Elephas maximus indicus: one gene and its partner. The main gene of each other region encodes a partner of the protein of the gene in region 2 in a complex. Links are inferred from orthologs where the notes say so. Each region holds a gene or a part of one and is shown on either strand. Other genes may lie near its edges.

What was found. The genes of interacting proteins can lie anywhere in the genome.
Region 1: the proteins of LPL (region 2) and GPIHBP1 are in contact, whole or in part, in a crystal structure (PDB 6OAU), measured with the Homo sapiens proteins. The link is inferred for Elephas maximus indicus from reciprocal best matches to the Homo sapiens genes LPL and GPIHBP1. Residues at the interface, in NP_000228.1 of Homo sapiens: Tyr367, Gly368, Thr369, Ala371, Glu372, Glu374, Leu403, Met404, Lys406, Lys430, Lys440, Ile443, Cys445, Ser446, Arg447, Glu448, Val463, Lys464, Cys465, His466, Asp467, Ser469; in NP_835466.2 of Homo sapiens: Cys68, Lys69, Ser70, Leu92, Ala94, His95, Gly96, Asn97, Thr98, Glu99, Ser100, Leu103, Thr104, Thr105, Ser107, Trp109, Cys110, Thr111, Asp112, Ile117, Lys119, Val121, Glu122, Thr124, Val126, Met128.

The regions. Positions count from the first base shown.
Region 1 is NC_064833.1:1,698,201-1,701,948, reverse strand, and holds the start of GPIHBP1 (glycosylphosphatidylinositol-anchored high density lipoprotein-binding protein 1), read left to right. Parts: upstream 1-975; 5' UTR 976-1,042; intron 1,043-3,748.
Region 2 is NC_064840.1:55,317,647-55,321,394, forward strand, and holds the start of LPL (lipoprotein lipase), read right to left. Parts: upstream 2,734-3,748; 5' UTR 2,537-2,733; coding exon 2,449-2,536; intron 2,438-2,448; exon of another isoform or gene 2,306-2,437; intron 1-2,305. UniProt on the Homo sapiens protein: Key enzyme in triglyceride metabolism.

The DNA.
Region 1 (3,748 bases), on a different chromosome or scaffold from region 2:
ACATTCTCCTCATAGCCAGCTGAGGAAGCTGAGCCAGAGAATTTCAGGCTGGCCCTGAACCCAAGCAGGGAAAGAGGAGCCAGGGTCCAACCCAGGGTTCTCTCTCCAGAACCCACTCTCAACCTGCCCTCCAGGAGGACACCAGAGAACCAAAAACCACCCTCTCCTCTTCCCCTGCCATTGACAGTCAGGGAAACTGAGGCACACTGAGTTAAGGGCTGGTCCAAGCCACAAAGCATACCAGTAGGGGGCAGGCTGAACCCGACTCTGTCTCCGGTTCCAATCCAATATTCCCCCAGCCTCTGCCCCCTGCACACAGCCAGCCCCTTCACAGCCCTCGGGACAGAGAAAGGGGACTTCTCAGGGAGTCCTACCCTCTACACTGTCCGTGGCCTGCCACAGGTGGTCAAAGCTGTGGATGGGGGTGCCCCAGGGAAAGAATTGGGGGGCTGCCAAGCCATTCCAGCCGCCCCACCAGCAGCCTAGGCTGCTTACACAATACACTGCTCAAGGCCAGAGGTGGGTGGGACTGATGGCTTTCCAGCCCAGAGGGCACAGAGGCCCCACCCACAGCGGTCCCCAGAAGCCTCCTTCCCTATCTGGTCCTGCCAAATCTCCCCCAGAAAATGAGGGCCCAGGGGACCTTGCCCTGGAAAGCCGGGGTGTGGAGCAATGCCCATGGTGGATTGGAAGGGCTGGGCTTGGAGTGGGGACTCCAGGCAAACCGCTGCCCCACCTCAGTTTCCCCATCTGTGAAATAGGGCTAGGTCAGAGGTCCGAAGAGTGGATATGTTCGTGTTCTGGGTCTAAGTGTTGGTGGGTGGCTCCCAGCCCAGGGCTGCTCCAGGCACTGTGGTCTCACCCACAGACATAATGCCAAGGAAGGCGAGGAAAGGGCAGAGGTGAGACGGGTGGCCAGGGCAGGCCTCTGCAGAAGCGGCAGCTAAGCAGAGACTAAATAGGGTGAGAAGAGGCATGAAGAGCACACCAAGCAGAAGGGCGAGGGGCAGCCAGGGGCCCCACTGGACGAAAGGCTGAGGAGGTGAGTGCACATTGGACAGGAGGACATCTGCCATGTTTTTATTTAAAATACTCTATAAAAAACAAAATAAAACCCATTGCCGGCTGGTTAATTCCAACTCATGGTGACCTCACGTGTTGTAGAGTAGAACTGCTCCTTAAGGGTTTTCTCTTTATGGAAGATTGCCAGGCCTTTCTTCCATGGTACCTTTAGGTTAGCAGTCAGTCACAAAAAGAGGCCCTGAAATGTCTGTGATCCTCACCTTTTTTTTTACTGTGCTCTAGGTGAACCTTTACAGAGCAAATTACTTCCCATTCAATAGTCTGTACGTTGTGTTCAGTGACACTGGCTGCATTCCCCTCAACGTGTCAGCACTCTCCCCATTTCCACCCCGGGTTCCCCGTTTCCTTTTGTCCAGATTTTCAACCCTTTCTCGCCTTCACTTTTGGGCAAATGCTGTCCTTTTGATCTCCTATGATTGATTGTTCTAAGGAGCACATTCCTCTCGGGTGTTATTGTTTATTTTATGGTCCTGTCTATTGTTTGGCTGAAAGGTGGTTGATCCTCACCCTGAGGTCTAAAGCCATGGGTCACTAGGCTGCACCAGAGGGTCTGAGTTTTGCAGCCTGGGACCTCCAGATTCCACAGGGCAGTGTCATGAACTGCTTAAGATGGCCCTTCTAGCCACAGTCTTTGTAACTCCCACCAAATGATTGGTTGGGCCATGCTAATAGGCTGTATGGAACCCTAACAATGGAATTGGTCAGTTTTACAATCCCGCTAAGCTTAAAATGGGCCTTCCCAGAGGTGAGAAGGGAGGATCTCACCACCACCAAACAAGAAGAGCCAAGAGTGGAACTCGTCGTTTGGACCTGGGATTCCTGTGCTGAGATCCTCCTAGACCCAGGAGACAGAGAAAGAACTGCAACGCTGAAGACAGCAAGATGGTGAGAAGCAGCAGCAGAGGGAGGAGACCAGCAGGAGATGGCATGGTGGGCTTCCTGGGACACGAAAGCTGAGTGCCTTCAGGAGGAGGCTTTCTGGAGGACTAGGTGCCTCTTCTCACGAGTCTGTCAGTTTGTCGTATCGTGGGGGCTTGAGTGTTGCTATGATGCTGGAAGCTATGCCACCAGTATCACCCATGGCAGACAGGTTTCAGCTGAGCTTCCAGACTATGACAGACTAGGAAGAAATAGAACCCCGCAGTCTTCCTCCGAAAAGAATTAGCCAGTGAAAACCCTATGAACAGCAGCAGAACACTGTTTGATATAGCGCTGGGAGATGAGCCCCCCAGGTTGGAAGGCACTCAAAAGATGACAGGGGAAGAGCTGCCTCCTCAAAGTAGCATCGACCTTAATGACGTGGATGGAGTAAAGCTTTCAGGACCTCCATTTGCTGATGTGGCATGACTCAAAATGAGAAGAAACAGCTGCAAACATCCATTAATAATCAGAACATGGGACATAAGAAGTATGAACCTAGGAAAATTGGAAATCACCAAAAATGAAATGGAATGCATAAACATCAATATCTTAGGCATTAATGAGCTGAAATGGACTGGTACTGGCCACTTTGAATTGGACAATCTTATGGTCTTTATGCCGGAAACAACTTGAAGAGGAATGCCATTGCATTCATTGTCAAAAACAACATCTCAAGATCTATTCTGAAGTACAACAGTGTCAGTGATAGGATAGTATCCATACTTCTACCAGGAAGACAAGCTAATACAACTATTATTCAAATTTACCCACCAACCTCTAAGGCCAAAGATGAAGAAATTGAAGATTTTTACCAGCTTCTGCAGTCTGAAATTGATCGAACATGCAATCAGGATGCACTAATTACTTGGGACTGGAACGCGAAAGTTGGAAACAAAGGAGAGGGATCGGCAGTTGGAAAATACTGCCTTGGTTATAGCAACAATGCCAGAAATCTCATGGTAGAATTTTGCAAGACCAATGACTTCTTCATTGCAAATATCTCTTTTCAACAACATGAATGACATATACACGTGGGCCTCACCAGACGGAATACACAGACATCAAATCGACCACATCTGTGGAAAGAGACGATGGAAAAGCTCAATATCATCAGTCAGAACAAGATCAGGGGCTGACTATGGAACAGACCATCAATTGCCCAAATGCAAATACAAGTTGAAACTGAAGAAACTGAAGAAAATGAGGATAAGTCCACGAAAATCAAAGCACAACGTTGAGTTTATCCCACCTGAATTTAGAGACCATCTCAAGAGTAGATGAGACGTGTTGAATGCTAATGACCAAAGACCAGATGAGTTATGGGATGACATCAAGGACTCCATACAAGAAGAAAGCAAGAGGTCATTAAAAAGACAGGAAAGAAAGAAAAGACCAAAATGGATGTCAGAAGAGACTCTGAAATTTGTTCTTGAATGTGTCCAGCAGCTAAAGCAAAAGGAAGAAACAGTGAATGAAGTGAAAGAGCTGAACAGAAGATTTCAAAGGGCGGCTCAAGAGGACAAAGTATTATAATGACAAGTGCAAAGAGCTGGAGACAAAAAAACAAAGGGGAAGAACGCTCTTGGCATTTCTCAAGCTGAAAGAACTGAAGAAAAAATTCAAGCCTCAAGTTGCAATAGTGAAGGATTTTATAGGGTAAATATTAAATGATGCAGGAAGCATCAAAAGAAGGTGGATGGAATACACCGAGTCATTATACCAGAAAGAATTGGTCAACTTCCAA
Region 2 (3,748 bases):
TAGGCTGTTTGATAGACAGTGAACATTTTTCACTATAACTCTTCCCCGTGCCTGCCACCTTTCTATTCAGCTATTAGTCAATCACTCCCTAGCTGAGCTCTAATAGAAGGTGACATCTGCTATTTTGTTCTCATTACCCATCATGCTTAACTCAGACGTCACCCTGGAAATTCACTGTGGCCAGTCAAAGGGAACTGCAGCTATTGAGCACTGACCCTTCTGCTCCCTCTCCCAGTTCTTCAAGTTTCCTAACTGGGTCCCTGAAGAGATTGTGGTGGCTCCCAGAGCAAAGAGCCTGAGGGCAGGGCCTCATATCCTCATATTCTTCTTGGAAAGAAATAGAAAATGAATAAATACAGTCAGAGCCCAGAGAAAGTGCTGCCTACCATTGCCCACACATGTGTCTTTCTCACTCTGAAATTCTTACATTCCTAGGTGAATTCATTTAGAGGAGAAAAGCAGAGTGAAGCAGCTATGATGGGAGAGGTGGATGTACAGGGAGAGTGAAGGGTGGGAGTAATTTAACATCTACTTACACATCAGGAAACCCTGGTGGCACAGTGGTTAAGAGTCCAGCTGCTAATCAAAAGGATGGTTATCCACCAGGCGCTCCTTGGAAACTCTATGGGGCAGTTCTACTCTGTCCTCTAGTGACAGATTCAAAGGCAAAGGGCTGACTTAACAAGCAATGCCTCCTTTAGTAATACATTTTCAGCCAGGGAAGGCACGTGTTGGTTAAAATCCAATTTAATTACTTAAGTGTCCACTTGAATCAAAGATTGAGAATTAGAGAGGCCTCAAAGAACTTCCATTCTGGTCCATACTCCTCATTTAGGGTTGAAGCAGCTAAATCCAGAGAGGCTGCAGTGACCTGCCCCAAAATTTAGGCTCGTGAACCTCTAATGCAGGATAGCAAAAACTTAAAATGTGGATGGCATAGGTTTGCGTGTGTTTTCCGGCAAGCGTAACCTTGTACTACGTATATACGTTCTGAAATGAGAGCTTGGAGTTCATTCCTTCCATCTTCGCGGACCCTGGGAACGCTACTGAGAGGAACAGACCACTACATATGACGTTTAAGACTTCCTAACTGAACCTGCAGTGTTTTCAAACCCATCTGACAGAAAGATAATGGTAAATTTTTCCATCAAATGTAGCTTTCATGAAATCTCCTTTTAAAAAAAAATCTAACAATAATTTTATTTCACAAGTCGGTGCCGATATAAAACCACCTTTCAGCTGCAAAGTCGTGGGTAAACTCGACTATGACTTGAACATCTGCGGACGACGTGCCATTTGAGAGTACATCCAACAGACACTGACCCAACTGGAATTCCACGACGGAAGAGAAAAGAAAATGCTGACTCTTTTATTACTTGCTAAAAAAAAAAAATTTTTTTTTTTTTTTTCAGTTGCCTTCAGAGTTGCTATTGTACTTCAGCTGAACCAAGGTTCAAGTTACTCAGACTGCCTTTACCGTGGGCAAGGCTTGGGCTGGACACTCCTGTTCCTTGCGATAAAGAAATTCGCATCTCGCTCTAAATGTCTTAAAAGGCGTGCGAGCCCGCGGCGGTAACGGGGGTTCAGCCCGCTGCCTCCCCGCGGTGGCCAGGAGCTCCATGAGTTCGCGGCCGCAACGCCAGGCTCGGCGCCCAGAGCTAGCCCCAACTCGCACACGAGGGGAAGGAAACTGAGTGCAGATTTAGCCAGAGGCTGCTTGTCGCTACGCTACGTTTTCAGGAGGGTCAGCCCTTGGCTAGATTTTCTCGGCGCTAAGCAAAGCGTGGGTGCATGGAAGCTGGAGAGCTTCCCGGGCGTCCTAACGCGTGCGGGACGCAGCGTCCCCAGGACACCGCGCCACGTGTTCCCCTCACTCATTCCAGAGCACAAGGGTGCCTTGCGCTTTTAAGATGCAGACTATGCATTTACCCCCTCCCGGGGCCGGCTTCTCCAAAATAAGGGGCCACTTTCTGCCCGCGCTCCCACAGGAGCGGGCTGAACCTCTGCCGCGGCCAAGCCGGGGTCACCTTGGCCCGCGTGCCTTTCATTCCAGGGCCCCCAGAGCGAGGAAGTTACTGCCAGTCACCCCATCCGGGCCCTTCCCTTCCTGGTCCCGCCCTCACATTCCCCACACCCTCCCCGGCTCTGCGCGCGCGCCCCGGAATACCGCCGCTGCAGCCGCCCAAGTGCAGGGAACAGCGCGGGAAACCAGGAGAGAAGGAAAGCGGGAGCTGAGAGCCCCCCAGCGAAATCGGAGGGAAAATTTCCCCTCTACCCCTCCTGGGCCCCACCCAGGTGGTCCTACCCGGGTACCAGAGCTCGGACGGGGGAGTCGCCGGTGTTCCTTCTCAGCCCCTTCCAACTTCCTCTTTCCCATCCTTAGAGCGTGTGCTAGTGGCCAAGGAGCAGCATCTGCAGGTGTAGGACGAGGCTGCGCGCAAAACTTACCTTGGGCGGCGGTCACCCCTCTGTGAGAGGCGGGCAGACTCTGGAGCCACACGCCCAGGGCCACCAGGAGCACTGCTTTGCTCTTCATCTCGGGACGCGTGCCTCTGTAGTAGCCTCACGGCACAGGGGGGCGCGCGGGCGGACCAATGTACTGGTTGAATCCGAGGCCAGAGAGGGCTGGAGCCGCGGTGCGGCGTGGGGCAAGTCGCCCTTTAAAGAGATGGGCTGGACAGCTAGAAGTGGCAGATTTCCTCGGAGGAGGAGGAGGAATTGAGTCTGACACTGTCTCCACTCCAGGGCTGCTTATGTGACTGGAAATATGCAAATAAACCTCATCACCTATTGGCTATAAAATCATAAGTTGGGGGGAGGGCCCTAAACTCACTTCCAAATATTTAAGCAAACTAATGAAGATCAAGCCTGCCAGCAAGAAGAGGGGGAAAGGGCAGAACGGAAAATTTGATTTTTCTGTGAGGTTCCTATTTGCTTTCCTTCAGGAGTGGCTCTCCAGGGTCCTGTCCCGGCACCCAACACAGATTTCTATCGATTTATTAAAAAAATAATAAATTAATTAAAAAAAATTTTTTTTATTACATACTCTGTGACCACCAGTTTTCCCAAGAGGGAAGTTAAGTATTGACATTGGTCAATGTGTTCATTTTTTTCTTTCCTTCCTTCCTTTCTGAATTCTGGGGCACATAGTGTCATTTAGGTACCCATGGACACACATTGCTTTGCAGTTTATATTTGCACACTCTGGTATTTTTTAACATTGGCAAGATGGATTAGTTTATGTGATGGAGAAAAGTCTACTGGCTCTGACTAGCTTATTAATTTCGTCTCCTACCAGTTATACCCAATCCTCAAACTAATGAAAAATGCGAGGATACTGTCTTATCTTCAGAGGCAGAAGGTCGAGGTCAAAAGTTTATTGAGTTAATGCTAAGTGAAAGACACCTATCACAAAAGACACATATTGTACGATCTCATTTATATGAAATGTCCAGAACAGGCAAATCTATCCAGAGAGAAAATAGGTTAGTGGTTGCCTGGGGCTGGGAAAGAGGGGTGGAAGGAGAATGTGGAGAGACTGCTATTGACTACAGGTTTTTTTTTGGGGGGGGGGAGGAATAATGAAAAAATGTTCTAAAATTAGATTATGGCAGATGGTTGCACAGCTCTGTAAATATACTAAAAACCATTGGATTGTACATTTTAAAAGGTGAATTTTATGGTATGTAAATTATATCCCAGTAAAGCTGTTAAAAAAAATATATGGAGGTGTGGAAGTAAAATAATA